Rhinolophus ferrumequinum: one gene and its partners. The protein of the gene in region 4 purifies or fractionates together with the protein of the main gene of each other region. This does not show direct contact. Links are inferred from orthologs where the notes say so. Each region holds a gene or a part of one and is shown on either strand. Other genes may lie near its edges.

Region 1 (7,549 bases), on a different chromosome or scaffold from region 4:
GAGATCCTGAGTGATCATATCTGAGCCATACGATCTTGTAATCTTTGCTGCAGATGAGTGGTTTCAAAAAATTTTATGTGTCAGAATCAGCTGGAGGACTTGTTAAAACACAGACTGTGGAACCCAGCCCTAAAGTTTCTTTTCCTGTAGGTCTATGGGTGGGGCTTAAGCATTTGCATTTCTAACAAGTTCTCAGGTGATACGGAGGCTACTGGGGTCCCCCGTTTAAGAACCACGGCATATGAAGATGATTAAGTTAGAGAAAGTCACTCTAAGACAGGGCAATCAGCTTCTGTCAAAAATTTGTTTAAATTTAGTTTTCAATCACAGTTGACATACAATATTATGTTAGTGTCAGGTGTACAACATAGTGATTAGATATTTATATACTTCACGAAGTGATCACCCTGATAAGTCTAGTACCCATCTCACACCATACAGAGAGACAGAGACACCGAGATGGAGGACTATTAGAGTAATGAGCTAGCTAAAAGGTTCAAAACCCACCACTGTTTAGGTTCTGAGAGCTGGTCTGGTACCTGTTCTTAGATGGAGCCTTGGTTGCTCAATCCTTTGAATAAATCCTACTTCTTTCTTTCCTTCCTTCCTTCCTTCCTTCCTTCCTTCCTTCCTTCCTTCCTTCCTTCCTTCCTTCCTTCCTTCCTTCCTTTGCATAAACTGGCCATAGAAAGTTTGTGTTGCCTGCCCACAAAATAACTTGAACTAAGACGTAAGTGTATCAGTTATATGTTCCACCATGAAAACGAAAACCATTCTGAGTATTTAAAACAGATATGATATAGTATAGGGAATTGGTCTCATGGGTGATAGAAGGTCTGAGAAGACAAACATGCAGTGAGAGATTGGCAACAGCAGGAAGCTACCTCCACCCTTAGGCTGGAGGGAAAAAGGGAGAAGGTGGTGTTAACAAAGGCTGGGGTGATCCAAAAGATGCTGGAATCACGACAGACCAGTCCAACAGAGGAAATACTGCTGATGCTGCCAGAAACATCACCCAGTGCAACTCTGAGGAGGTGGAGAAATAACCTGGCTTCTCCCTCCTTCCAGCCTCCAATCTCCCAGCAGAACTCTCCATGCTGAGAAGCTTGGAGAAGACAGCCTATGATGCTGAAGACAGCTTGGGGCACTGCGGAAGGACAAGGTGTAAATCTGAAAACAAGCCAAGAACCAGCACTGTTCAATTTGGATTTCTCAGTCGTTTCTTCAAAGTACATTTTGCCTACTTACAAATTAGTGAGATAATATGTGCGTGCCGTATAATTTCTCATAGTTTCTTGTTAAGAATAAGATTTTTTAAATTCAAATAGGTCTTTATTAACTTCTTCCATAATTAGGGGTGACATTTCTGAGATAATCTTTAGGGAAAAATTGCAAATGATAACAAGAATTAGCATTTGTATACTACCTTTCAATGTGAAATGTGTTTTTACAAGTATAATTTAATCCTCAAAATCCTCATGAAATAGGTTTTATTATTAACCCCATTTTTAAAATAAGGAAACTGAGGCTCAGAGAGAATGAGCAGTCACATTGCTCAAAAGTGGTAAAATGGCATGACCCCAAACCTGGTCTCAAGCATATAACCTCAATTGTTGCAAAACACCAAGTTATTGTGTGAAAACACATGCCAGGCTACAAACATAAAATTCTTTCTTTGTTGATGTCTCATTTCTTCCCTTATCTAAAACCCAACAGCTAGAGTAAAACCTTGTAATCAGAACTGAGAGATTATTTTGAAAGATCAGCAAAATACTCCATGGTGCCTTTCCCCTTCTCTACCTGCAGGTCAACTAAATCTGTTCTCAGTGGTCCCACAGGTTCCTAATTAATAGGCAGTGATTATGGGACAAGACGAGGCCTTTCGTATAAGCTCATTTGAGGATAGCAGCAGTCATTTAAAAAGAAAAGAAGAAAAATCCTAAAGAAATCCTTTGAGAATATTATAGATTAAGCTAGACAGATCGGTATTTTTGATAGCTTATGAGACTACTTAGTCACCTAGAAAGAACTAAATACAAACACACAACATAAGTGTGTGAGTGTGTGTGTGTGTGTGTGTGTGTGTGTGTGTGTGAAAGAGAGAGAGAGAGAGAGAGAGAGAGAGAGAGAACGAGAGAGAGAGATCCCTTCTGTCTCCACAGAAATTAAGCTTCTTCTGGATCCAGACTGCATTTCTGATGCTGAAGAGCCATCTTTGTTTCCCCTGGTTACCAGTGAAACAGTGTGCAGGGATCTGTTCAAATCCATCACACTTATAGCAAAATGCTTCCAAACATAATGCCTTGCCTTCAATATCTATTATCTATATTTATATATCTATTTAATAGGGAGGAAGCTCACACATGCACATCCACACATTCCTGTGCTTCTACTCTATTGTGTATGATGTCCTTTATAGATGGAAATGAGCTATGTAACATGACATATCCCTATAATATTAATTGCTACAGAGATTAGATTTTTTTTTTAAAGGCAGATGCCATCCTCTCCTTTGTTGCTGAAGACCCAAGAGAACTTGCCGTAAGCTGATTTGTCCTGTAAAGTTAGTCCTCAGAGTGTGCCTCAATAATATGCTTTTATCTGTAAGGACGAGCCCTGCTTTATGGAGAATCTCCACACCCAATTTGCCTCAATAAATTTCAGGCTCACTGATTATATTCCCATCTAAAGCTTTACACAGTTATAAAACTAGGAGAGCTTTTAGAATCATCCCAGGTCAAGTTACTTTCTGAATATTTTCCCACAATGAACTGCAATACATTAAGCTTACCCATTAGCTAGAATATCACTGATTGTACTCTTGATCTGACGGCCAATGGAACATTTGTGTTGTCTGGGTTCTGTTTAAGATAATATTTGGAATGGATGGGATAGCTCAGAACAGGAGAGCAACGTTCAAAGTTATCTTCTTTCAGTGGGGAAAAATGTGTCTAGTATATGAGGAATGAGCTTGTTAAATGAAAATCAGAATTCAACACTAAAACACCTCTCTCAGCAGAACAAAGCATTTTCGTCTCCCCTGAGATCCTCAACTAGTTCCATGAATATTTTTCTCTTGAACCCAAGATATTGTTCCACAATGAGATGAGAAAATAAGAGTGATAAGAAAAACTTCCACCAACAATTAGATGGAGAGTTCTTTAAAATTTTTAATTGTGAACTTTCTTTTCACAAGATGTAGTCTTCCAGAGATTTGCTAATAGAAATAGGGGTGTGAGCTGATCCTTCTACGTGATTGCAACATCAAATGCCATTATAATGTACTCTATCTTTGCCACTGGAATAATTATGTAGATGCATTGATTTTTTTTCATTTAAAAAAACAGCTTAAGATTTGCTCTGAATGATCATTTTTTCATAATATTTGGTATTCATTGAACAATGAAAAATGCCACGGAAACATTTTATTATTATTATTATTATTATTTAATATTATTGTATTAAAAATGAAATCTTCCTGAAGGTTCAGAATTCTGATACACACTTTTTGCTTACCTTTAAACATTTAGGTGTATTAAGATCATGGCAATTCTTGAATAGCACGCTGTTGTTTGGTTTAGGTCATTTAAAAAATATTTGAAGAGAAAGCTATGGGAAATGAGGCGAGAGTGTTAGGGATTTAGCAGTACATGTGTACGTATATATGTCATTAAAACTTTAGGAAAAGATGTCTTCCTGGGAGTTGAGAGCCATCAGAGCGGGAAGTCCACTGCAGGAAAGAACAAAAGCATGGCTGCGCTACAGTATTATCTCTGCAGCGGCAGAAGCAGCAGCAGCAGCAGCAGGCTCCCTGAGGGAGGGCTGCGGCGATTGTCTTGTCTATTCTGCATTTTTATTAGTGACAGCCTCCGTTATTCTGTCAGCTCAGCCAACTAAGCTGTTCCCCGCGAACTCCGTTAAATGGCAGAAGGAAAGAGAACACAGAAAGGTGAATTGTACGAAGTGGGACACGCGGGGATTTCTCTCCTGCGGGGTCGGCTTCGCCTCATCCTCTGGGGCTTGGGGGAATTCCAGGACCGCATTTAACCCAGAAACCCGTGCGTCCTATTAATTAGTTTACGCGTAGGGAAGACAGTGAGAGACTTAATCGTCTCTTTTCAGCTGAGGCCAACAGAGCAGGGTTGGTCAGAGGTGCCTGGCCGGTGCGCACTAGCCCCGGACGCTTCGGGGCCCTCAGAGCTCTCACAGGGACGAGTGGAGGTCAAGTCAAATAGCACCACGGCAGGGTTCCCCCAGTCTCTAGCCCGCGCAGCCCGCAGCCTAGCTTCTGCACCGCCACCGCTAACACTGCAAGGCTGCAAGGAGGGGAGGGCCGGGGTGTCCCGGCGGAGGCGGGACTAGGGGCGGGGACGAAGATGCCGAGGAATGCGTCGGGAATTGTAGTTGTGCTAACCTCGGTAGCGTGGCTATCCAGGCTCTGCTTGCGGTATTGGGACTACAACTACCAGGAGTCCATGGGCCAGGCTGGGGAGTCCATGCGCACTGGGCGCTACATTGTATCCTATCAGCGGAGGAGAGGGTGATGTCACCTGCGAGTTGGTAACCTACGAGCGGCTGTGAAGGAAACTGTTTAACCGGGTCCCATTGTACCCAGAGCGCAGAGCCGCCTTTCCAGCATGCAGGGGTTGCTCAGGTAAGGGGGATGCGCCGCCTCGCCCGCCGCACTCATTCATTAAGTGGCACCAAGCGGTGGAGCGGGGGTGGGCGCGCTTCTTCGGGCCGGGCTCTGGGTTTGCGGCGCGCCCTCCCGCTGCTTCCCTGGAGCTCCCGGGCCAGTAGGTAAATATTAAACCCGTCCTTCAGGTTAGGTCTGGGTGCGAACAGGACCTAGACAGCTCCGGGCTGCCAAGCTGGATTTGGAAAAATGGCTGCAAGCACGGCGCAAAGCACTGCGAGCCCGGAGGAAGGCGCCCCAGAGGATGAGGGTCCCTCCCTCCTTTCTTTCAGAGGCGCTCGGATGCCAAGAGAGCAGGCAGGGTACCAGGTACAGCCGTCTTGCTGCAGGCACCCCGGGGATGGGGCGCTGGGGGTCGTGGCCTCGGCTGCGGGTTGCGTGCATTGCTGCTGTCGGGAGCTGCTGGCAGAGGAGGAATCCTGAGGCAGGCTTGGTGGATTCGGAGGTGGCGACCAGGAAGGAGGGACTCTGAGCCGAACGTCCACCATCCCTGACACCCTCACTTCACGCTTCATTCGAAAGGGGTGGGGTGACTGTAATTCAGGCAAAGTTGTAAGCTGGAGGTTTCAAAAGGGGCAGGAGGGGAAACCCGCGTTGCAGAAGGAGCAAGGGGTGTTGGCGCACAGCGGCGAGGGGAGGCTGCGCCTCCTGCGGACCGGGTTCGAGGAGCCTCAGAGCTCTTTTGCCCCCAGTCCCTCCGGGGAGGGCGCATCTTGGTCCCCCCTGCACTGATTGCTCCCTCGACAAAGAGCACCTGAGCTGAGGCGAAGCGTCTGCCCGGAGCCCTGGGTTGGGAGGTGGTAAAGCGGTGGGGTGTCAAATAATCTAATGATAAGGCTCGCTTGTGGGGCAGGCAGCCTGGGTAATCGGGTTTTCCCAGCTGATGCGGAAAATCCAGCTTCTTGTGATCCACTTGCCCTCCGATTGGAGACGTGCACGAGGCCCGAGAACTCTATAAAGCCCTCTGGATTGCCTTCCCCTGCCCCTCTTGTTCGCTCGCCTACTCATTCATCAAACCCTGCTAATGGCTCTGCTCTCAAGTTGCTCACAGCCTGGGTTTGGGGTGTTCTGCCTCTTGCCCTCATAAAATATTTTAGTGGGCCCAGGAATAGCTACCTACATTCCCTTTCTCCCAACCCCGCCCTCTTGATTCCCATCTCCACCCCCAGGTGAGCATCAACAGTAAATGCCTCCCGTGACAGTTTTGCTCCCATTAAGCTGGTAGTTTCTTGAGGCTCGAGAAGGACTTAGTGAATTGAAGCGGAGTTTGCCTGCAAGATGAATCCCGTTGCCATGGCGACTCCTGCCGTCGGAATCTTAACTGCTCTCACTGCTGTTTCAATTCGATGTGGCTCTGCTGGCAGCTGGGAGGGCGTGGCCTGTGGGTGTGGTCAAGTGCTTGCTTTGGGCCCAGCTGCTTTCTCCTCTGCGTCCCTTTCACAGCCCGGGGGCTCTGTCCATTCTCTTGTAAATATCTTGGACACAATTCTTCGCTCCTTTCTCTCTGGAGTTCCCATACCTGGTCTCTCCAGCTCCCTTCCCAGATATAATTATTGGGCGCCTTTTTCCTGAGGGAAACTCTGAAAATTACAATTGAAAGGTATCTTTCCCCTTTCAGGCTAGCTGCATCATTTTCCTAGTAACATGTATTATAGTGTTGGAAGCAGCTTTCTCAAGGAGGGAGCTCTCCTGCTTGAAGACAAATCTCTGGCCACCAGTAAAGATCCTCAATCTGCCATAGGTGCAACTCACTGAAGTCTTTAGGGACAATAACTGAAATTGAATTCTGGAAGTCACTGCCATCCCTTGTGGTTCTGATAAAATCTAAAAGGCTAGCCCTACACTGGCTCTGTCATCACTGGCTATTCCACTGTTAGGTTAACCCTTTACCTCTGGGGACCTTGGTCATTGGTAAAGTGGGGAGAGTGTACAGAGAGTTTCCTAAAGTTGATTCTAGGTATAAAATCTTGTGACTCTAAGAAGGACTTGGTCATTGTCTTTTATTTTTCTCAAAGAAATCTGAACACTAGAGTTTAAACCCAGCTTCGGACACCGAGCCTTACTGTACGGAAAAATAATGTGGCTCTTCATGGCAGTCCTGCAAAGTGGGCAAGGTAGCCATGTTACTATTTGTAATATTATCTCTAATACTCCTGCTATTAACCCAGGATCTGGACTGTTATTTATCCTTTTATCTTAGAATTGTTTAGGTTTTGCCTTTTTACAGATTCTTGATGAATGCAGTTATTTGTGATGTAATTGCATTAAGTATAATTAAATTTCACAAATATTTTGTTTTTCTTCTGCTCTCATTTCATACTAAGGTTGATTATCACAGATAGTGCCATTAAGGTGTGTGTGTGTGTGTGTATCTGTGAGCATCTCTCTATGTGTGCAGGTAAATAAATGCTGCAGATGCTGTGTGCCAAGTGGTTGACAGTCCTCATCTCTAAGAAGCAGGTGGTTACATCCCCATGAGGAAGTGGTATTAGAAGTTGTCACTCACTCTTTTTTTGGGGGAGGGTGGGTTCTGAGAAGTCTGCATTTATTATAGGTCTGGATCCAGAATCACTCTTTATTTTTGTCCTAGAGCTTATCATTAACTGAAAAAACAATCTCATTTAATTACCTGTTTACTTCCTGTCTCCCTATAATTCTGACGCCAATTCCAATGTATGGGTTTTTCCCCCACTCCCCTAAGATCTTTGAGAGCAGTGTCTTTGTCTTGTCTATCTCTATCTCTCCAGTATTTAAAGCAGTTTTTGGTCCCGTAGGTATTTAATAAATATTTGTTGAATCAATATAAAGTAGTAGAGCCATGATTGGAGATCCAAGAGCTGTATTATTGCCACT
Region 2 (7,892 bases), on a different chromosome or scaffold from region 4:
CTCTGCCCATCGGGTCACAGCGGGCGTGGGGCGGGGCAGTCGGCGGCCCAGGCGGGTCTTGGGTCTGAGCCTCCGGGCACTGACCCGGGCCTGGCTGTGTCGTAGGGGGTCTTCCTAAACAGGTCAAGCTGAAAAAGCCCTCGAGGCTGAAGACCCTCGATACCAAACCAGGTGTGTGCCCCTCGGGCTGAACACCTCCTCTCCTTCCAGGACCCCCGTGGGGCGGGGGCGGGGGCGGAGAAGGAGGGAGGCCCCTGGGACAGGTCCGCAGCTCTGCCTCCCGCCAGGCCTCTACACCGCGTATACGGCCCACCTGCACCGCGACAAGGCGCTGCTCAAACGGCTGCTCGGTGGCCTGCAGAAGAAGCGGCCGCCAGGTGCACTGGCCGCACTGCTGCGGACGCACCTGCTGGAGCTCACGCAGAGCTTCGTCATCCCACTGGTGAGGCCCAGGGCAGGCAGGGTGGGGCAGGGCTGCGGCCCCCGCTCACTGCCCTCCCCCCGCAGGAGCACTACATGGCCAGTCTCATGCCCCTGCAGAAGAGCGTCACGCCCTGGAAGGTGGGCTCCCGGTCCACGTGGCCGTCGGGCAGGGGCTGGACGCAGGCGGGGAGTGGAAGGGTTCCTGTCCCGATTCCAGAGGAGGGAGGTCGTGGGTGTGCAGGCGCCCCTAGAGCGCCAGGTTTCCCCACCCGTTCCGGACGTCCTTCCAGGCCAGAGACGTGGGGACTCGAAGTTCCCTCTGGAATCTGTCCCAGGCAGGGTGGGAGCCGAGGAGTATGACTGGGAGGGTCCTGGCTGGCGGGGCGGGGCTAGCGAGGCTGTGCCCGCTCCTCACTCAGCCTCTGTCTCAGGCCCCTCCCCAGATCCGCCCCTTCCACCAGGACGACTTCCTGCGCAGTCTGGATCATGCGGGGCCCCAGCTCACCTGCATCCTCAAGGGTGACTGGCTGGGCCTCTACAGGTGGGTGGACAGCAGGCAGGGCCCCGAGGCTCCTGCTGCTGGTGGGTGCAGGAAGCCTGTGCCCACCCCTTGGCTCAATGGATCAGCCCCACAGCCGCTGCCTCTCGTCACCCACAGGCGGTTTTTCAAGTCCCCCCATTTTGACGGCTGGTACCGGCAGCGGCGCAAAGAGATGGCGCATAAACTGGAGGCCCTGCACCTGGAGGCCATCTGTGAGGCGGTAAGGGGCGGGGGCGTGGTCACAGGCCCAGCGCTGGGCCAGGGCCTAGGTGATGGGTGACCACGTCTTTTCATGACAGGACATTGAGACCTGGATGAAGGACAAGTCCGAGGTGGAGGTTGTGGACCTGATCCTGAAACTTCGGGAGAAGCTGGTGAGACGCCTCCTGGCCCTGCCCAGCCCAGGCCAGAGGACATGGAAGTTGCCTGCCCCTGACCACCACTGCCCCTGCAGGTGCGGGCACAGGGCCACCAGCTCCCCGTGAAGGAGGAGACACTGCATCGGGCCCAGCTGAACATCGAGATGGTCATCGGCTCCCTGCCCAAGGACCTGCAGGCCGTCCTGTGCCCCCGCTAGGACAGGCCGGGGGGCAGGGTCCAGGGCCTGGGTTTCCCTGGGGGCCTGGGTCTGGCCAAGCTTCCTTCTCCCCAGTGAGGGGCAGCCCCAGCCAAGCATGAGCTCCCCAAGGCAAGCTCCCTGCTGCTTCCTGGCCTTGCCCCACTTCCCAGCACCACTACTGTGCTGCAGTAAAAGTGGCATTTGGAGCCACAGCCTAGCTCCTGACTTGCTGGCAGATCCTGTGTTGGCTGGAGTCTCACCTCCCCCTGGGCCCCACCTGCCCTCCACAGGGCTGCAGGCTCGGGGGCGGGGCTGGCTGTGAGCCCTTGCTGATCTGGGCCTGGGCCCACCGCCCCCTCCAGGCACCCATCTGCCCCAACTCCCTGGGGCCCCGCGCGGTGCATTTGATGTCCTTTAGTCCCACCAGGCTGCCCAGGCCAGGACTGGAGGAGGCAGCTGACAAGCAGACGCCTCTCCTCACCCAGCCCATCCACCGGCTTGCCCTGGGCTGGGGCTGCCTCACCTACGGCGGCCGCTAGGGGGCTGTGTGATGGCCTGGCGACGCGCCAACCCTCCAGAGCATTGTCCCGTGCAGCCCACTGGGCACCATCTCGGCTCCTACTGCTCCACCTTGCTTCTCAGCTGACAGGCACTCGAGTTACCCCGTTATGGGCATCCACCCTGACGTGCAGCCTGAGCAACTTTGGACTCTAGCCCAACCCCCCCAGCCCCCAATCTCAGAGGTGATGTACTCCCCAGCAATGCTGTGTTGCCACCAGTGCTGTCAACGACAGCCCAGGGTGACAGCAGTGCCAGCCAGTGGAAGGGTGGGTGTGAGGTGTGACCCCGAGCTGTGGGCCTGCTGTGAGTCTCCCAGCCTCCAGCCTTCAGACCCCTCATCATATGGGGGGTGTATCCTGTAGCTGTCTGACCCGTGAGGCCTGCGCAGGGTCCTGACACAGGGAGTGGGCGTGGGTGGGGGGCTGTCCCTTCTCTTCCCCACTCAGCCCATACCCTGGATGCTGTGCTCACTGTTGCCTCCACTCCTCCCCTGCTGGGCAGCAGCCGGTGCAGGTTGTCTGGGCTGACCACGGCCTAGGACAGCCTGTCACTGTCCCCCTTCTAAGGACAGCTGAGCCCAGCTTGGTGCAGGGTCCCAGGACATGACAGCAACTAAACAGAACACAGCAGAGGCAGGCAGAGGTAGTGGGTCCGTTTTTGGAGAAAGAACAAGCGGGAGGCCCTGGAGTGAGAAAGGCTCCACATTGGCCCCCAATGCCACTGGGTGGCCTGCCCCTAGCTGTCTGTCTGGAGGGGTGGTCCCCCCCAGGGTGTCATCTCCAAGGGGGTCTGTGACAACACCAGCACCTTCCTTGTGACTGGCGGGCTCTCTGACCTCCACAAGAAGGGGCTGAGTGGACAGACAGTGGAGACCTTCTTACCGTAACCCCTAACCCTAACTCCACTGGCCAGACGCATTACCAGGCCTGGGCCCCCCTCACCATTACAACCCCACCCGTGAAGGGTACGCCCCAAACCTCACTCCAGCTTGTGCTTGCCATACTGGTTATCTCACTTGCCTTTCTAAGGGCTCCTGTGTGTGAAGGAGGGCTGGGGGCGGCACAGGATTCAGGGCAGGGGCTGCAAGGTGGCCTCCACGAAGCCACCATCAGTACAGGAAGGCACAACCAGATTCCCTTGGTCCTGGCGTCCTGCCCCGAGGACCAATGGGGGCAGAGGTTTGGGGGAGGGACACCGGGCAGGGTGGGCACCGCTGTCCAGGGTAGGATCCCAGGCTGAAGTGTAGAGGTGGGAGGAAGCCTGTCCCCTGGAGTGCCTGGAACCGTGGAGCTGTCTTCCTCATGCCTGACCCCCTGAGCAGACAGAAGCGCCTGGGGGCTACTCCATCCTCTCTGCCCAGAGGCTGCTTGTTCTTTCCCAGGATCAGGTCACCTCTGACTTGGCTGAGCTCTGACCCCCGCCACAGGGGTTTGGAGGAAAACAGGCAGATGGGTTAAAGGAAGCAGACCTGCCCCCAACAGAGCCCCGCGGGCAGGGGGCCTGGAGAGGCAGGGACCAGTTGGTCCAAGAGGGTGCTGTGCTTAGCCCCCTGGGGCCGCCGGAGATTGGAGCGGCTGTGTCAAAGCCTGGTTGAGTGGCCCCGGGTGGGGTGGAGCTGGGGCTGGGGTGGAGGTGGCAGTCGCTGCTCCAGGGGACAGGAAGGACAGTTCACCCCCAAGCTTCCTGCGTGCACTCTATTTAAAGATTCCCTTCTAGTGGGGGATAGTGGCCTTCCCACATTTTGGTATTAAAATGCCCTATAAAGCACAATGCTTGTGTTTTAACTTCCTTTTTGATGAAAAGTTGGCATCCCTGTCAGACACTGGTAATTTTTGGGTCCCTTGCGGTGGGGACTGGGTGGGTCATGTGGATGTGGTTCAGGGCTGAAGGGGTGAAGGTCTGGCCTGGCTGGTTGGGGTGGGAGGGCTGCTGAGACGCTGACATAAGTAAGTGACCTGGTTCTTGAGCATTGGGGGTAGGTCTCAGGGTCAGGGGAGCGGAGTGCAAGGAGGGGACAAGTCCCAGTGTGTGGGTATAAGTTGGGGTTTGGGGTCTCCAAGCGCTGTGCTGCTCACCACACCCGGTTCACTGACCACACTAAGGGCCAGTGGGAGCACGTGACGTCCCCACCTCTTAAGTCCAGGAGGCCCCAGGGCAAACTGGGAGTTGGAGTGGCAGAAGTGGAAGAAGCTCAAGTCCAGAGCTGGCACCCCGGGAAAGGCTCAGGCTCACCCCTACCTCCAGGGCTAGGTGGTCTTGGGTGCGGGTCCCCAGAGGCCCACAGGTGGGGGAGGAAAAGGGGAAAAGCAGCACAGCTGGGGGGCCACGGATGAGTTGTTAGGACACTCGCAGGTGTCTTTCCCCTAGGAGGTTGGGGGTGCTGAGGTTTAAGGGAAGGGGTCAAGGCCCAGCAGCCCCCCACCCCCGGAAAAGGCAGGGGTGTGGCCGGCCTGTTCCCAGTCGGAGGGTGGGGGTACCGGTGCCCGACCCGCCTCGGAGAGAACCGGCTCCGGGGTCCTCTGTCTGGAGCTGCGCAATCCCCTGGTGCTAAGGTCTGGGCTCCCCTGTGGCCCGGGGCGCTCCCGGGATGGTAACCAGGCCGAGGGGCGATCGCTGCCCGGCGCAGATGTGGGTCGGAGCCGGACTGAAACTCCTCCGCGCTGCGGCGCACCCACTGCGGGCGGGGGCGCTGGGGCACGCGGGGAGCGCCCAGTCGGCCCCGCCCTCCCTCCCCCTTCTCCCGCCCCTCCCCCTCCTCCCCTCCCCCTCCCCTTCGGGGGCGGGGCCACTCTCTGCTCCCGCGCTCCGGCCCCTCCTCGGCCACACAAAGGCCCGTCTCCATGGCAGCCGCACGGGCCGCAGCGCAGCGCCGATCGAGGCTCCGGCGCCATCGAATCTTGGCGGCTGACTTGCAGGTACCGAAACCGGGGTACAGGGCCCCCGGAGTGGCCACGCTGGTCGGGGGGCTTCGCCGTTAGCTCCACTCTGCCCCTGCCTTCCGCACTCGGGGTGCGGGGATCCGGGTAGCTGCCGCTCCGCGGAGGGTGACTCGGGCCTCGGCAGCCGTTTGTGTGTCCTTTCGTCAGGGCCGGGCCGCTCCTGCCCCACGCCCTTTTTAGTGATCCTCGAGGACTGCGGCGCCGGGGGCGGAGGGTGAGCGGGCCTAGCCCAGCCGAGGGTCCCCAGCAGGGCGCTGCGCCCTCTCCCGCCGCCCAGGTCCCTCTGGAGCCTCTCGCTCCCCTTCTGGTTCCCGACCCTCCCTCCTAGCCTATCCATGCTCCCCATCTCTCCAGCCACCGAGATCCGTCCCAGGGCGAAGATAGTCCCTGTTGTGCAAGAGCTGCCGGCACTCACCCCGCCCATCCACCCAGCCTCGGTTCTAGGGTGGCCAAGCCCGGCTTTCCCCAGGGGGCTGGACCTTCGGTCAGGCCTTGGCAGCCCCCGCACCGCCTGGGGTTCCTTGTGAGGAGGGCCTGGGCTGCGCCTGGAGGGCTGGAAGGTAGTGCAGGGCGCCGGCTTGGGACTAGGGGAGCCAGCACCAGTTCCTGGAAAATCCTGGTGTCCTGGGGTCTGCTTGTTCCCAGGGTCGCTGGGACAGGTGCTGTTGTAGTTGGTTGGTGTGGTGTTTGGGTAGACACCTTGGGCCCTGCCCCTCACCCTCTGGCCTTGCACCCTGGCATGCCTCTTCCTGCAGGAAGCCTTGGATGGGCCTTTCCAGCCCCTCTGCTCAAACTGCTTGGCTGATTTGCTGGGGGTGGTGAGAGGGGGGTCTCTGAGCTCAACAGCCCCAGAGCTTCCTGCTATGTCGTTGGGCTTCTCTTCCCAGCAACTTGGAAAAGGAAGGGGTCTGTCCCCCTGTGCTCACCATGGCCTGTGGTGGGGGTCATCACTGGGGTGGGCTGGGCCCCAAAGCTGGTGGGATGTTCTGGGGTCTGAGGGGCTCTCTGGACCCTTGCCTGCCCTGGGGTGCTCCCTGTTTCATGTCTAACTTCAACCCCTGCTACCTGCCCACCTGGGGCTGCACCCTGTGGAGTGAGAGAGCAAGGCAGCCCAGAAGTGAAGACTGTGAGCCTGGCATGGAGGGCAGAGCCAGGGGATAGTCTGAGTTGGGCAGCTGGTGAGAGGGGCCGCCCCCTTCTGCCCTGAGGTGAAGGGCCGCATGAACCCCGCTGGGCCTGCTGGGGTTTTTTTGTGGCCTGACAGCTTTCAGGAATTCCCAGAGAAGACTGAGCAGAAGCAGGTAGGCTTGTACCTCCTCCCTCCTCTTGCCATACCTTCTGGGGGCCCCCTCAGTCTGAGGGGAGGCCTGAGGCCTGGCCAGGAGTTCCTTGCCCCAGGAAGGGAGGGAAGTCACTGAGAAAAACAGGGCTTGGAATGTAGTCCCCCTCCCCCGCCGGCCGCCTGCCAAGAAGGAATTATTTTGGATTATCCAGCCGTGTCCAGCCACCCAAGAGGGGAGGCTGCAGCCTGGGAGAGGGATCCACTTCCGGAACCGTGGGTTGAGAGCGTCCCAGAAGGGAGGGATGGGCAAGTCCGGGCAGCCCTACTCTCCTCCCCCGAGACCGGTCGGGGGCGGGGTTGGAGGGGATGTGTCACCCTGGGGTTGCAATACGGCCCCAGCAGGCCCTGCTGAGCGAGACTGGGGAAGGCTGAGGCTGTGGGGTAGGAAGGGCCCTGGGCCTATCCATGGGGTCCAGCTGGAGGCCACCCTCCAGAGCCAGGCTCAGGGACACACCTTGGGTGCCTTACTCATACCTGATAAGGTGTGCGGAGCGGGTGGGGTGTGACTGAAGCTGCTTAGGATGGGGCATTGGGCTGAAGCTCAGGCTTGCCCCCTGACTGGCCCACTGACCAGTAGCTGACACACAGCCTCCCTCTAAGTACCTCTGATAACCCAGCTCTCACCCTGCTCTCGCCCCCCCCACCCCGCCATCCCCCCACCCCCCTACCCCCCACCCCCGTCCATACAGCCCTTTTAGCTGGTCCCACAGTTGAGGGGCTGGGGCCCTTAGTTGGTCCCTGGGAAGGACCATGGGGGGCGCTGCCTCTGCCAGGTGGACTCCCTGGGTCCTTGCTGTGTGTGCCCGCAGCCATGAGCCCGGCACCCCTGTGGGGACGCCACTGAAGAGTTCTGAGCTGGCAGCTGGGTCTGGGATGGAGTGCAGGAAGCCCAGGAGCCTGGCCCCAGCCCAGGGGAGTGAGGGGAAGAGATTGGATTGGAAGGCACTGGGGTGGGCTGGCAGCCTGGGGAGGGGTCCATATGGCACATAGCTCCTCTCCCCCTAGGAGGGCTAGGTTGCAGGTACTTGCGCCATCCCAGGACCAAGGCCATTCTGGGGACATCATGGTATCCTGTTCCCTAACTTGTGCCCACATCCTGGGGCCAGACCGATGCCCCACCCTGGGACGTTAGGTGTGGCAGGGGATACCTGGTGGGGAGAGGCTGTGGGTCCCAGTGTCCCCAAGTGGCCCCTTGGCTGATTTGGGCAGGGCCCCACTGAGGCGCCAGGCCCTCTGCCATCTGTGAACAGGAAGTCCTTACGCCTGTCATACCACAGTCCTTCTTGCTGCAGCAACAACAGCCCCCCCCCACACCCGCCGTAGCCTCTTGGGTGGGGAATAAGCTTGTGTTCCCTGTTGAGGAGCCCAGTAAAGCTGGGGGCCAGCGGTGGAAAGAAGGAGGTGAGCTAGGGAGAGGTCCCCCACCTGCACTCCTTCTGAGGTGGAGGCAGGTTCACTAGTTGGGGGTGGGGGCTGGGTAGAGTCCCTCTGCCAGAGGCTAATGGCTACTTGTGTTTGGGGTGGGGG
Region 3 (6,896 bases), on a different chromosome or scaffold from region 4:
GGGCTATGGTCTCTGCTCCCAGGCTAACTTCAAACCGGTAAGCTTGATGTGTATGTGTTGTATATATTGGGGTTCTGTGAAGAGTTTTATTTAGGAAAAAAACCTGTACTACGGGAAGAATAGTTTGAAAATCAGTGTTCGATGTTATTTTGCATAGATCAGAGTTCCTCAAAATACTTCTTTATTTTGTAACCTCCCTGCTTAAGATCCTTATCAGTTACTATTCCATCTCACATTCAAATGTGTTCACAGAGTGGGAAAACACTATGGGGATAACCATGTTTCCTACTATTATTCAACATCTATGTTCTCACCATTCTAGTTAAGCCTCACTGGCCCCTCAATGTTAGTGGTCAGTATTGTTTCCAGGCTATTCCATATGTTGTCTTTTCCTTACTTCCTTTCTTTCCTTTGCCTATTCAAGTCTGATTTCTGCTTCATAGTTCGGCAGCTCAAGCTTTACCTCGTTCTTGAAAACTTTATTTATTCTAGGCCTAACTAATCTGACCCTTTTACCATATTATGTTGAATTATAGTCAGTACCTCTGAGTTAGGCAGCTAATTTTTTTCTTACTCTTTCTCACATTTGTCTTCTTGTTTGTTTTCTCAACTAGATTTTATTCCTATTGATGGTAGAGATTTTATATTTCACAGTTTGTCCCACTACAAGTGTTCATGTACCGTGAATAGCGCATTAGCGATCAGTAAATAGAAGAATGAGGTCAAAATAAGGTGGAAGTTCAGCTGGTTCATGTATGAATTTTATTTTTTTTTAGTTAATCTTATTGGGTAACAGTGTGTATTTTCCAGGACCCATCAGCTCCAAGTCAAGTCGTTGTTCCTTGAATCTAGTTTTGGAGGGTGCAGCTCAGCTCCAAGTCCAGTCGCCGTTTTCAGTCTTTAGTTGCAGGGGGCGCAGCCCACCATCCCATGCGGGAATTGAACCGGCAACCCTGTTGTTCAGAGCTCGAACTCTAACCAACTGAGCCATCTGGCCGCCCATCATGTATGAATTTTCTTAGCATTTTCAGTTCTGAAGTGATCAGGAGCAAGCTTTCTCACAATTAAGGAGAAGTCCTAACAATATATGAAGACTTTAAGAAAAAGAAGCAGAAGGGAGACACAGAAAGCCAGAGGGAGACTATAAGGATCGTCAGGAACCTCTGAGGAAATGAATGGGTCTAAGGTCAGTTTGAAGAAAGCTAGAGGCTAGCAGCCTTTTATCTTTCTGTTCTCCCAGAGCCAGTGTTTTAATGTTGACCCGGGTGCTACATTCCTTAGAGGCCAGAGGGAGAGACCAAAAGGTCAGTGGGTCTAACATAGACTTTTGATATCCCAGCTGATGGTGGTAGCCTCCTTCTTTCTTCAGCATCAGAGAAAAGATGGCCCTCCATCCTCCAGCTTATTTGTGTGTCCCAGGAAGGTAATCATAAAGGAATGCAGGTGCAGTCAGATCAGCTCTAGGACTGCATCCCTGAGGCGCCTGGTTCATAATCAGTGGACAAAGTGTCCTTGTGGGAGAGGAGTAGCTCCTTCCAGCGTTAACTTCCAGGACAGGCCCATGACCCAGATGCCTGAGGGAAGGGTATTTGTTTGTTAGTAATTACTGTTTGCATTAACTGGGGCAAAATGCTGAAAAACAAACAACAAGAATTAAGACAGGGGCTGTGATAACCACAATAAAGTCCAAAGTAAGCCATATTAGGGCCAGAGTTTTTCACTTTTTGCAGTAAAGATTATGCATGTTTTACATGGACCTCTATTTTGATTTTAAATGTAGCTTTGCCTGGTCTGAGGATGGTGAAACCCAACCTTACATTCAAAATGATGTCAATCCATTTTTAAGTCTATTTACATACTCCAAACAGAAGTCTTTGTGTTACAATGTCTTCCCCCCTTTTAAAACCACACCAATGAGACCTACAAGTAGGGACCTTCATGATCAGGAAGCTGCTTATCTGTTCTGCTTCTTCTCTGGCCAACAGCAGGCTCTCTCCTCACCCCCCAATTTCTTAACCAGAGGGTCTCTGTACATGCTATCCTTATGTTGTTTGCCTGGCATGCTCTTCACCCTCCTTCGGTACCTTGTAATTACTCAATACATTTTTGCTTAATATCCTTCCCAATAGCCAGAAAGTTCCATCAGAGCAAAGTATATCTGTCTTGTTTACTATTATATCCACAATACCTAGCATAGTACCTAACACTCAGTAGGCTGTCAACACATACTGACTTGAAGTAGACTCTTAAGCCAATAGATTGAGGTTCTAAAGGGCAGAAACGGTGTCAGCTTCATCCTTCTACCCTACCACCCTCTGTACGTCACTTGGTATACTCTAAGGAGCTAAATAAATGTGTACTGAGCAGATTATTGAGCAACATTTGAGCTTTGAGAACCCTCAGCCATGGCCTACACCCACATCTGTCAAACAGGAATTACGTGAAAGCATTGCATACAGGTCATGTCTTTCTGCAGCATCCATTTTTATGCAACTTTTCAGGAGAGGAGACATTTAAGTAATTTAAATAGTGTGTGCATGCACGCACATGTATAGTGAGTGGAAAAAAAACTATACATCAAATTTTAAGTCAAAGAGGAACTTCAACAAAACAAATTTACCTTAGGGCTCCTTGCCCACCCTGCCTGGGAGCGTGTATTCCCTCTGCTGTCCCTGGGTAGTTTCCCAGCTGCATGATTAAAAAGTTAATGACAAAGCTGGGATTAAAACTGTTTTGATATCTAATGTGCTTTTCACTCTACTGTCCAAGTGAATTGCCTCATCACGCCTATAGCACGGTCAAATTTACCCTAATGATGTTTATGAACATCAATAAATATGTTCATAAACAAATTAGATTCAGCAGAGCTGAATTTAGGTTGAAGGGCAGAAGGGCAAAAGGAGTCATAGCCCGAAGATACATGAGTAAGAGGTATATGGACATGTTTAGAGACTTGGTTTCTGAATTTATACTTCAGGTAGTTTCCCTTGCTCTCATTCTATGATGGTGGTGCATTCAAATCACCCCTCTAAATGTTCTCAATGTGGGCATTATTTTTAAAGCGCCCCGTTTAAAAAGATGGCAGAAATCTTGTGCGGGCCTCTTCCTGACAAGTCGAGGACTAGAGAGTAACAATACGGGCAGTGCCCTGCTGCAGCTGTACAAAAAAACACCTTGCATTTGTCTAAAGAGTTATATTTTAAACAAAGTTTTGACACACATGATCTTATTCACTCCCCACAACGATTTAAAGTAGTTCCGGGAGCTGAAAACAGCAGTCAGTCCAATTGTGAGCTCTCCACAGGTGCTCTGCTTGAAGAGCCTCACTCCCACCCCCTTGGGGATTTAAGCGGTGGGTGCCTGCTACTTCTGCTGCCGAGCAGCGTGGGAATCAAGGAACAGCCGTATTTCTTTGGCCGCAACGCCATCATGGCAACAGAAAGCACCCACTCTTTCCACTGTGAACCGTACAGTCTGTCTAGGCAATTAATCAGCGCTCCCCGTGGTGCTTTTCCTATGGGATGCCAGTTGCCTTGCCAATCAACCCCACCCACAGAGCGCAGCAGGGCCACACCCCCAGCATGGCCTCTGCCAGGGAAGGTGCTCTGGCCTATGCTAGTGGAGGCTGAGACTCAGGTACACCGGCCCCTGAAACGCACACGTGAATCCTCCCGGGCCTCAGTTTCGCCACCTCTAAAATGGGCTACACCCCCTCTCTCTGGACGAGTTCCCTGCCATTTCACGCTAGGCCCCTAGGAAGTGAAATCAGTGCTTAACCGCAGCTTAAAGTCCTCTCGTTGGGCTTCGGGTCCTGCGCCGGGCATGCTCAGTAGCTGGGGCCGACTTGGCCTGGGGAGTAGGAAGCAGCTCTGTGCGCCCAGGCGGCTGACTGCGGGCACTTTGATGAATCACGGGTGTTGAGGCCCTCTTAAAGAGATAGGCACCAACTTTCTCCACCCTAAACACCGCCCTGAGGGCGGCGGCGGCGGTCGTGATAATTGCAGCTGCTCTCAGGGGCAAGGCTTGTCCCAGCGCCGAGTAGAGGCAACGGCGTGTGGCGTCTGGGGTGCCGGGGAGCCCGGACTCCCGGGGGCCTGAAATCGGCAGCTCCCTAGACAGACACTCCCCCTCAGGAAGAGGTGCTGCCGAATCAGCGCGGGGCAGCGGGACCGCCCCGAGGGGCTTCCTCAGTGGAGGAGAGGTGGGGTTACAGGGCACAGGTGACAGGGCCGGAGAAAGATGGAGCAGCCCGGGGCGGCGGCGTCGGGAGCGGGAGGCGGCAGCGAGGAACCCGGTGGGGGCCGGAGCAACAAGCGGAGCGCGGCGAACCGGGCCGCCACCGAAGAGGAAACGAAAAACAAGCCCAAATTGGTGAGTGCTCCCGCAGCCCCCGCCGGCCTTGGGGACAACGAGAGCCCCGGGATCCTCCTGTCGTTGAACACGGGGGGACCCGGGGCCCCCTCCCAAGGGTCACCGCGACCTCGTTGTGCAACTCGGGGAGCCGCTGAAGGAGCGGCCACGCCGAGGCGCGGAGACGGCGTGGGGGCGGAAGAGCACCCGCTTCTCTACCTAACCGGGTTCTTACTCTTGTCAGCCCGGGAGGCAGTGCGGGGTGGAGAAAGGCCCCACCCCAACTTGGGGAGACCCGGAGAACTGGATGGGGTCTTGTTTGCCTAACTTGTGGGCACCAGCCTTCTTTCCGCGATTCCATTCCCCTCCCACCCCTGTCAGTTGCTGGGTTTTGCGTCTTGAGCGCTTAGGGTCCGGACAGGGAAACCTCTCTTCTTTGCAGCCCAAGTACTTGGGACCCTACCCACAGACGGGGAAAAAAAAAATCCTATAAAACAAAAAGACACACAATGTAGGCCCCCAGTCTTTCTACTTTAACAGAAATCTAAGGGAGAGGCGCCTACGTGCGGTTTTTTTTTTTTTCTTTCCCCTCCTCGCTTCTCCATGTGCTCTCGCAAGAAACATTTCTTTGGAAGAGTGGGGGGAGCGTGGGAGTTGGAGGCTGGGTGAGGTACCACCAACTGTCGGGTAATAGGCAGAGGCGTTCAGTACTTGCACTTAGTTGATTAAGAGTGCTCAGAAGCAATCGGCTGACTACAAGTCTCACCGTCCTGAGAGTGTGAACGGGTAATAGCAGTCTATTTCCTGCCACTGACTTAATGTTCTGAGGAATGAAATCTATGGGGCCCGCTATTGGATTGGGAAATACTGGAGTTTCCTAAACTCATCAGTTAAAAGGGTTCCTCTTTTTTTGGTAAAAACCTTCTAAATCGGGTGGCATGAGGGGAAACGGTTTTCATGTACAAATTCAGCAGATATTTGACTCTGAACGTTCTTGGTCTAGCTCTGAAGCACAAGCCACATGTTGCTCATCTAGTTTTCAGTTTTAACCAGCGACTTGATTATAATTAGGAAGGAGACGGTGGTTTTTAACTCAAGCCGTTTCTTACGGCATCTGTCCATTTGGCGTGTACCTGTTATACTTCCCGCTCTTGCCTCCTATTTGCCTTTAAATTATGGACCGTCCATATTCGAAAAAAGTGGTCAAAGCATTATATCTCGTTTAAGGAAATATGCAGCCTTCCATTATGTGGGAAGGGACCTGGTTGGGTATAATAAAATGACAAGTTTAAAGTCTTATCAGTTCCACCCTAACTAGAAGCAAATTTTGGATATACTTACTTGATGTGTCCTACTACGGCAGTATTTACAAGTGAAGAAACTGAGTCACAAGGTCTTTGTGAATTGTCTATGCTGGGTTTAATGGGTGCCCTCCACCATCATGAAACAGAAAAGTTTTGTGAGTGTATCATCAAAGTTTATTTAAAAATTCTGATGTTGTGATTTTAAAATTTATCAGTTTGTGTTAAACGATTGATCATATTTCCTTTCCTTTTTTTTTTGACCCAGCACAAAACTGTGGTTTAAACCGTGATTAAAAGTTTAAGCAAAAATAATAGTGAACTGGTAGTTTCCACCAATAGTTTGGTACATCCAGCAAGAACCTTTCACTTAGGAAGTGTGTTCTCAAGAGAAAGCACTTATCTCTGTCTGTTAGTAAATAAGACCTTGATTATAATCTTCCCTTTCCTTTGGTCATTTGTCCTGTTTCGTCTTTTATGTTTTACTTGCTTTGACAAGGTAACTAGATAGTTATGAGCTGGTATCAGTTTCGGTTCCTAGCTAACTTGTGTTTGGTGTTGAACATAGCATGATATAGTAGAACGAGTATTTGGATTCAAGAGTTTGTTACTATCAGTGGGGAATTCTTTGTTTGCTCAAATACAACTTTTGAGCCTTACGGGATTTTATGAGCAGAAGTGTCAGAGTTAATAAAAGCAGATTTAGGAAGACGGTTCAGCACTCTTTAGACATTTCAGCACTTTTTAAGGCAAGCATGTTGACCAAACAACCAGACCTAGTAAACTTTCTTTTTTTTTAATAAATGCCTTACTCCCTATTTTGACTTGTCTTATTGAAAAACTCAGCATTTTCTTCTAAGGTCTTTTAGAGAAGACTTCATCTGGGATTCGTAACTTAAAATATTGCTAGTAAGATAAAGCTTTACCTAGATTAAATTTTATTATTTTGAGTATTATGTTATTGATCAGTATAATAGTCATTAATTGTGTGCACGTGCACACGTGTGGGTTTATAAAAGAGCCATACGGTAATAGAAATTATTTGTGTAACAGGTGATTGTGGGGCATAGGGGTTCTTAAACTCCTGAAATTGTATGAAAAAAATTGAGTGTATATAGGTATGTGCATTTTTCTGGATCCCATAGCTTTCGTCAGTGTTTTCAAAGGCTCTGTCACCTATAGAAGCATAAGAACTATTGGGTTACCAGAGAGAGAGAGAGAGAGAGAGAGAGAGAGAGTGTAAAG
Region 4 (7,910 bases):
GTTCTTTCTTTTTAAGGAGGGCACAGCTCATAAGGGCCCATGCAGGGATTAAACTAGCAACCTTGCTGTTATTAGCACCATGCTCTAACCAACTGAGCTAATCAGCTACCCCCAAAGGTCATCCTCTTAATCACTAGGCCAAACCCTCCCTCAATTCCTCAAGGGTGGGGCTGAGGGGCAGCAGAGGAGGCCCTCTGGATTCCAGGCTGCTTTGGTTTCCCCCTGCCCTCTCCTGGAAGGTCACAGTAAACATGGGAAGAAGAGAATCTGAGTGGGAATTCCCAGCATACCCCAGGAGGCCTGGCCACCCCAGGGCCTGACTGTGAACTGCTTCTGTGGAACCCCCTCCCCCAACACCAGGGAGACAGGCTGCTGCAGGGGCCTGTAAAGGTGGATAGGGAGGGCTTCCCAGAGGAGATGGAAACATGAGCTCTGGCTTTGCAGGGCGGGTGGACCGTACACATGGAAGAGAGAGAGGGGCCTCCAAGCAGGGGAACTGCCAGCACAAGCGTTGCGTGTGTCTAGGGAGCCACACAGCCGGCTGAGTGTGGAGAGACCGGATAGGGCTGAGCTGGGACGGCTTTGTGTCCAGGCTGAGGCTGAAGGTCCTTGTCCAGCTGGCAATGGGGAGCCACTGAGGGGTCCTGGGCAGGAGCAAGTGAGAAGAAGGGAGGCAGGAAGGGGAACACTCTAAGCAGCTTTGGAAATGACAAGGGGGGACATAAGGCTGTTTTAGGTCAGTGAGGGGCAGTCCAAGCTGCCCTCAGGCTTTAGGTTCATTCAGCACGGTCCAAATTGAGCTATTTCCATCTCTTTTGCCCCTTCCTTCCCATCCCTCATTTCTCCCCTCCTCCAACCCCAGGCCCATGGGCCTGCTTCAAGGATCCCAGGCCCCCTGTCTGGGAGCCTTCGGGGACAGGCCGAGCTCCACCCAAAAGGACAGGTGTGGAGGTTGCTGATTTGGCCAGCGGCATTGGCCAGGCCAGGCCTGCATGTGGGAGGAGCCGGATCAGCTACTTTATCATCCACACTTGACAGCAGATTCAGACTTCACTTCCTCTTTCTGCCTGTGGTTGTCTATGCCTGTAGACACCGGAAGTAACAAACCAACAAGCTAAATAAACACTGAGACTGGGCCACTGGGTTCCCTCGCTCTCCACCCACTCCCGCCCCATAATCAATCTTCCCATCCTACCCAGAAGGATCAAGGATGGTGAGGCAGGGAGAGGAGGCAGGGGCAGGAGGCCTGCGTCCCCAGGCTTGCGCTCCAATCAAATTGCTCTGGGGAGCCTCAGAAAGAAACTTGAGAAGAGTTTCTTCTGGGTTCTGCCTGCCATAGACCTGGGCCTGCTGCTTACTCGCTGTGAGACAAGTGCCTTCCCCCCCGAGAGCCTCTGTTTCCCCATTTGAAGAAGGAGCATTTGGACAAGAAGGCCTGTAAAGGCCCCTCGCATCTCTTACTTTTGGGGATTCTGGGTATATGGGTTCTAGAGCCCCAATGCCTGGGTTAGAACCCCAGCTCTTCCACTTATCAGCTGTGGGATCTTGGGCAAACTATCTGTCCTCTTTGGGGCTCAGTTTCCTCAATTGTCAAAGAGGATAAGAATTATACACACTTCATAGGATGGAATAAATGACACACGCCACGTGTCTGGCCCACACTAGGTGCTCAGTATATGTGAAGTCAAGGCTTTGGGTGGCGTTCCGGCTCTTGGGATCCACCAGATTGGGATGAAAGGGAAGGAGGGAGGGTAGGGAGGCAAGAGGAGCAAAAGGCCTGTGTCCGCAGCCAAAGCATCCAAAGGGCAGGACTAGACTCTGAAGTTCCACCCCCTGGCACCCACTTTCCTTCTGCTTCAGCCGTTCATAAACACCCCACACCCGGAGCCAGAACCCCAAGCAGAGCGGGCTGCCCTTGGTGTAGGGAGCATAGCAGCCACACGGGGGCAGCAGAGACTCGGTTGGAACAGCAGGGGACTCCCGGGCCTCAGGGAGGATGGGGGTGGGGTGTCAGAAAATGGGGCAGAGGGTCCCAGGGCTGGGGAGCCTTGGAGCAGATGGAGGCTGGAGGGTGCTCACCTGTCTGCTGACCCCGCACTCAGGTCATGGGCTGTATTCATTCATCCATGCAATGGTTTATTCTTTTATTCATTTCTTCAGTTTGTTGTTATTTTCAGTCAGCCCATCTTCCTTCCTTCTTTCCTTCCTCTCTCCCCTGCTCCCTCATTTTCCTTCCTTTCCCACTTGTCCAGCAAGGCATTCAATTGGACATAACATCCTGAGGCACAGGTGGCCAACCTGGCCACCTCTGCTGTTCTAGGGTCTTTGGGGTAGTGACCCGCTGGGCAGGGTTTCTGAAGGACTCTGGGCTTGGGACCAGTGGGATCTCCAAGGGCTGAGTCACCCACAGGCTGGCGGCAAACTGTAGCCACAGAAAACAGTACAACAGTAAACAGTATCCTAGCCAGGCTGACTGTGACCTGGGCCCCTCCCCACTCCAAAATAAACACCAGGAAAACAGTGCCATCCAGGGCCCAGCCATGTCTGGGATTTGGGTAAATTCTTTGCCAACCAAGATGGATTTTTTCCGGGCCCCAATCTATGCTCTATCTATGCTCATGCTTCTGCAAGAGGTATGAGGCTGGGGTTCAACATCAGTAGATCTGAGGTCTGAATGGACTAAAGTATATGAGGTGTGATGTCAGGAGAGAGCCCAGCTTTGTGACCAGACCTGTGCTCAAATTAGGATTCTGCCTCTTACTAGCTGTGGATCTTAGACAAGAACTTAACCTCTCTGGGCCTCAGGCTTCTCCTCTGTGAAATGGGACTAACAATCCCCACCTACTAGGGGACAGTAGGTGCTGCACAGTAGGTCCTGCTGCACAGGATTAACGATCCATTCATGGACACTGTTATTATTACGAAATGTTCAGTGAAACTGTAAAGCATGACACACATCAAGGGTGTCATTAGGTGATTATCCCCATAGCAAACAAGGCCAAATGCCTCTGCCTGACTCTCCACCCCCACCTGCCTCCCAGCCTTGCCACCCAAAGCCTGATGATAGCAACAGTGGCAAGGACAGAAGATGATGAGTCTGACAGCTGATCGTTGGGGGCTGGGGCCCTCCCCACCACTCCTTGGGGCGGAGATCCCTGCTCAGTGGTGACACACCCAGTCCTGTTCTAAGTCACTGCCCAGCCCTGTGGCAGTTTCGGGGAGGAAGGGGCACCTGAAGGGTGGGGAGGTCCTGGGATGTTCGTTCCAACCAGGTGAGTCTTCATTCAGCCTGATGACTGGGGTCCTGGGTGAGCGTAGAAGAGGAGTCAGGGGTCTGAGCTCTGCCTCTGCCGTTGGGGCAGTGACTCCTGCCCTGGCTGCCTCTTTGGGCCACAGTGAAGTTCAAAGGGGGCTGAGGGGGTTTTTTCAGGTGTCCAGCTTTGAACTCTATGTAGATGATATCATGACCTGCAAGGGGGTGGGGGAATGTGAAACCCAAAGACTTCTGCCCCCTTTCTTTGAGCTTCAACAAAAACACTCAGTCCAGGACTGGGGGAGGCCCCTGTGCTCATTTTTAAAAGATTTCAATTCTGGCTGCTACCAGGGGTGGGAGGTCAGGCGACAGTGAGTTTCCACTTCATTCTGTATTAATTCCTGGCATCCGAAGTGCTCCATTATCCAGGCCTGTTAACTCTCAGCTTCACCCCCGGCACTGGCTCCCCAACCCACTTTGCCCTCTGTCCTGGGGAAGGACTGTGACCCCAAAGCACCCCCGTCTCGTCTCCATACCTTGCGTGTGCTGTTCCCTCAGCTTGGAACACCCTTCCCCTTCCCCGTCTGTGTCTCACTTTTTCTTCAAGAGTAGCCCCTCTTCTCAGAAGGGTTTCCTGACACGGCCTCCCCCAAACCTGAGTGAGGGGCCGCTCTTCCCTGTAGCCGTCCTGTGTCATCTCTGTTGTAGCTCTCATCGTGCCGATACCCGCCCATCTCCCATTCTAGGCACGGGCTTCTCAAAGTAGGGACTTTTTCTTAAATGGTTCAGGGTCCCCCAGGCTCTTGGGCACAGAGGAACCATCAGTGTTGGTTAAATAATAAGGATCACTCATACGTGGCATCAAGCATGTACCAAACCTTGATCTAAGCAGTTTATCGATGGAAGGTTCCATTGCTTTCCCCAGATCATGCTCCAGCCAGAAGTGAGACAGGTGGTCACCCACCTGCAGCGAAACTTCCTGGTGCTGGCTGTGGGAAGGCAGGCCAGGCCTGGCAGTGCCATGTCCACGTCACCCCATTCCTACCCGGCCGAAACACCTGGAGGGAGGAAGGTGGTGTCCTGGGTCTCCAGAGCCCTGGGGAAAATGCATGTTCTTTCTTTCTCTTCCTTCCTTCCTTCCCTCCTTACTTGCTCCCTTCTTTGGTACCTCCTACCCTCCCTCCCTCTCTTTCTTTATCAAAAGTCACCAGCTCCTGCTCCACTGGGCACCTGGAACCCAGTCCCTGATCCCACCAAACTGGTAGGCTAACATGGCTGACCCCCACTTCCCTCCTTCCAGGGGAAATGGGCCAGGTGCCCCCTCTTTCCCTGTCCACACCCCTACTCGCACTGTCGCTGTCCAGCTACTTGTCTCCTCCCCATCAGACCAGAGTGCCCTCCTGAGGACCGGATGCTGAGTCTGGGTCCCCCGCTTCTGTGGTCTCAGTGCACGCGCACAGTAGGTGCTCAAGAAATGTTTCTTTAGTGGCCAAACAGGACGGGAGGGGAAGGGCCCGAGCCCTGCCGCCACGTCTCTGCCGCCCCACGCGCGGGGATCCCGGCTCGGGCCTCTCACCTGGGCTCGGCGGCCACCCGCCCGCCCCCTGCCCGCCCCCAGCCCGGCTCGCACTTCCTCCCGCCGCCCCGCCCCTTCCACATTCCTGCCCCGCCGGGCCTGCCCTGCACCCGGCCTTCGCCGCAGCCCGGGCGGACGCCGCTGCGCGCCCGGCCCCTCGGCCGGCCCCGCGATGAAGGCGGCCCAGGCTGCGGGTGAGGAGGCGCCGCCAGGCGTGCGGTCCGTCAAGGTGGTCCTGGTGGGCGACGGCGGCTGCGGGAAGACGTCGTTGCTGATGGTCTTCGCCGAAGGGGCCTTCCCCGAGGTGAGTGCCGCAGCCCTCCGGGCACGGCGCCCACTGCTGTGCACGCATCCCCGCCTGGTCACGGTTACGCACGGGCGCCCGGTGTGCCCCGTCTGTGCCGGAGCTGCCCAGGATGTGTGCCCACGCTGGCCTCCCGAGACGTCTCCCAGCAGAGCGTGGGGTCAGTGGCAGTTCTCGCTCTGCCATCGGGAGTGAGGGCCTCAATGATATCATCTTGGAGAAAGGCACCTACCTGGGAGAGGTGTCACAGGGACTGACTTTGGCAACCTGGGTAGTGGCAGGTCCTAAGGGAACACTTGGTGGCACAGCATGGCTAAAAGGGACTGACAACTTTGGAAACTGCCTGGGTTCAAGTGATGGCTTTGCTACTTACAGCTGTGTACCCTTGGGCAAGTCTCCTACCCTCTCTGTGCCTGTGTCCTTGACTGCTTAATAGGAATAATGATGGTGCCCACTTCCCAGTGTCGCGGTGAAGAGTGAGTTAATACAGGTCAGATACTCAGCTCAGAACCTGTAACAGGAAGGACTCACTTGGGAAAGAAACATCATTTCTTCTCCCCCAGATTTGCCCCTGACACGGACATCCCATGGGCTCTGCCTTGGAGGGTAAGGGAAACAGACTCAAGTCAGACAGCTGATTGGTACCTTGGCATTCCTCTAACAAACTGTGTGGCCCTCAGGAACTTGCTTAACCTCTCTGAGCCTCCATTTCCTGACACCTTTTGGGGTGGAGAGAGCCAGGGTGCTGGTGAGAATTAAAGTCAGGCTGACAGATGACCCCGCGTGGTACCTGGCACATCCTTGGTGCTCAGGGCATGTTGACCACCGGTCCTTCACTAGCATGTTTACTGACTGTTCAGGCGGACTCACCAGGTACCAGAATGGGCTGGACCCACCCACCCCATGCCCCCTCTCAGCCTAGTTCTCCTGGGAGACCATGGATTTGCTTCCAACACTTCTTCTCCCTCCTACCTGTGCCAGCATCCTACAAACCCCTGGGGTTGTGCAGGCGTTGGGGAGTCTGATGAGGGAGGCAGGAGAGGCCAACCCTCGTAACAGTCTCGGAACTTTCTTTCCCCGGTGACAGCGTTGAGCTGAGTCTTTTGTGGTTTATGGAGCTGATGTCATCTCCTTTGGCCAGTCACATTTTTTTTAAGTTGTGGGGGATGTGTTTCCGGGCCCCCAGATGCTGCCCTTGGGAACCCAACAATTATGAAACACTGGGAAGAGCACCACGGAGGGGCCAGGCCAGTGGGGCCCAGCAGAGGGGCTGGGAGGGGTGGTGCCTCACCACCAGTGTCCTGGGCTCTGAGACAGCCTTGATGGTGAGACCCTGGTTTCAAAGAGGTTACAGTGTAGAAGTGGGCATTGCCACGCAGTTGACGAAATGTGGGTGTTGGGACACACTGGAGCTGGCCAGGGAAAGGGAAGGCATGCTTGTCACCAAGAAGGTGGGCGCAGCTTTGTCTGGGCTCCTCCCTGTTTGGGGATCCTGAATTCCCAGGCACCCCTCTGCCTCCAGGCACAAGAGAGGCCTCTTCATTTAAAAGAAATACAAGGTCCTAGAGCTGGAAAGGCCTTCATTTCAGATAGGATAACCGAGGCGAGAGACAGAGTCTCCCGTTGGGGCACAGGGCCCAGCAGTGGCAGCGCTGGTCTAGAACCCAGGTCTTCCTCCCCCGATAAGACACCTTCCAAAGCCCCCAGTGCTCGGCCTGCTGGACCCAGCCTTCTCCTGCTCCTGTCCCTGGACTCCCCTCCTGGCAGCCCACCAAGCCCAGGGAGCCAGGAGCAAGGAGACTTGGGGCCCCATCTCCCTAGGGCTTATGCCTGCAGCAAAGAGCAGAGAACAGGCTGGGATTTGCAGGGGCCTCAACAACCTTTGGCTTTGGCCCAAATTCAGGTTCAGGGCAGGGGGAGCAGAGTGGAAAGAGCTCCTGAGGCGGGAGGACTCCTGGTTGACATTTGGGGCAGCAACCATTCCCACAGGGCCAAAGCCTAGGGGCCCCACAGCAGGGGAGGTGGGAGGGGACAGGGAGTGCCAGCCCTGCCTTCCCGAACCAGCTGAGTCTTCCCGCTCCACACAGGGACTCCCATGGGTGTGCTGCCCAGGGAAGCCCCGCTCTCCTCTCTTGAGCTACGTCCCCCATCCTGGAATGATCCAACTGTGTGTCTGTGAGCCCCATGAGGGCAAACCCAAGCCTGAGTCATTTCTACCCTGGTCCAGCCTAGGCTCGGCCCTGCCTTTCTGGCTGAGAACAGCTCAACAGATAAGGTTAAGGGCTTTTTGGCTCTATGGGCAGAGAGTGACCATGCCTAGGGGTTCAAAGAACACAACAGAAGGTGTAGACGGATAGAGTCTCCAGGATAACATTCCAGAGTAGGGTTGTGACAATTACAAGCCAGAGGAGCAGCCCAACCCCACACCCTGAAATCGAGGGGGGGAGCGGGGGGAACTTTCCTGGTCACTCCCACCAGTGGCTAGAGTTGGTGACCTCACGAGAGGCAAGTGTCTGGGGACAGAACCTGGCCTCTGGAACCAGAAAGACCTGGCTTTGTCTTTAGCCATCTGTCCGTTACCTTGGACAAGTCACTTCCCCTCTCTGGGCCTCAGTGTCCTCATCAGGAAAATGGGTTGGTACCAACTTTCAAAGGTTGCAGGGATCAGAGATGGTGCAGGTAAAGGGCCATGGAGAATGTGGGTGATGGTGTCATCTCCACAGGCATTTGCAAAGTAGTGACATGTGTCTCCCAAGAGCTTAGTGGCAGGCTGCCCT

Evidence for each region.
Region 1: the proteins of RHOD (region 4) and DAAM1 purify together in Homo sapiens (affinity purification with mass spectrometry; 3 studies listed by BioGRID and IntAct, counting the BioPlex papers as one, with this or other methods). This does not show direct contact. The link is inferred for Rhinolophus ferrumequinum from reciprocal best matches to the Homo sapiens genes RHOD and DAAM1.
Region 2: the proteins of RHOD (region 4) and PLXNB2 purify together in Homo sapiens (affinity purification with mass spectrometry; 3 studies listed by BioGRID and IntAct, counting the BioPlex papers as one, with this or other methods). This does not show direct contact. The link is inferred for Rhinolophus ferrumequinum from reciprocal best matches to the Homo sapiens genes RHOD and PLXNB2.
Region 3: the proteins of RHOD (region 4) and DIAPH2 purify together in Homo sapiens (co-immunoprecipitation; 3 studies listed by BioGRID and IntAct, with this or other methods). This does not show direct contact. The link is inferred for Rhinolophus ferrumequinum from reciprocal best matches to the Homo sapiens genes RHOD and DIAPH2.

Annotation. Positions count from the first base shown.
Region 1 is NC_046289.1:35,264,329-35,271,877, reverse strand, and holds the start of DAAM1 (disheveled-associated activator of morphogenesis 1), read left to right. Parts: upstream 1-4,541; 5' UTR 4,542-4,654; intron 4,655-4,824; 5' UTR 4,825-4,885; coding exon 4,886-5,005; intron 5,006-7,549. UniProt on the Homo sapiens protein: Binds to disheveled (Dvl) and Rho, and mediates Wnt-induced Dvl-Rho complex formation. May play a role as a scaffolding protein to recruit Rho-GDP and Rho-GEF, thereby enhancing Rho-GTP formation. Can direct nucleation and elongation of new actin filaments.
Region 2 is NC_046293.1:397,473-405,364, forward strand, and holds the start of PLXNB2 (plexin-B2), read left to right. Parts: upstream 1-4,892; 5' UTR 4,893-4,999; intron 5,000-7,892. Other genes in the region: protein DENND6B, read left to right, coding at 106-171, 288-442, 508-606, 855-964, 1,082-1,184, 1,264-1,338, 1,419-1,541.
Region 3 is NC_046284.1:58,164,049-58,170,944, reverse strand, and holds the start of DIAPH2 (protein diaphanous homolog 2), read left to right. Parts: upstream 1-3,886; 5' UTR 3,887-4,239; coding exon 4,240-4,371; intron 4,372-6,896. UniProt on the Homo sapiens protein: Could be involved in oogenesis. Involved in the regulation of endosome dynamics.
Region 4 is NC_046294.1:5,069,875-5,077,784, reverse strand, and holds the start of RHOD (rho-related GTP-binding protein RhoD), read left to right. Parts: upstream 1-4,908; 5' UTR 4,909-5,001; coding exon 5,002-5,133; intron 5,134-7,910. UniProt on the Homo sapiens protein: Involved in endosome dynamics. May coordinate membrane transport with the function of the cytoskeleton. Involved in the internalization and trafficking of activated tyrosine kinase receptors such as PDGFRB.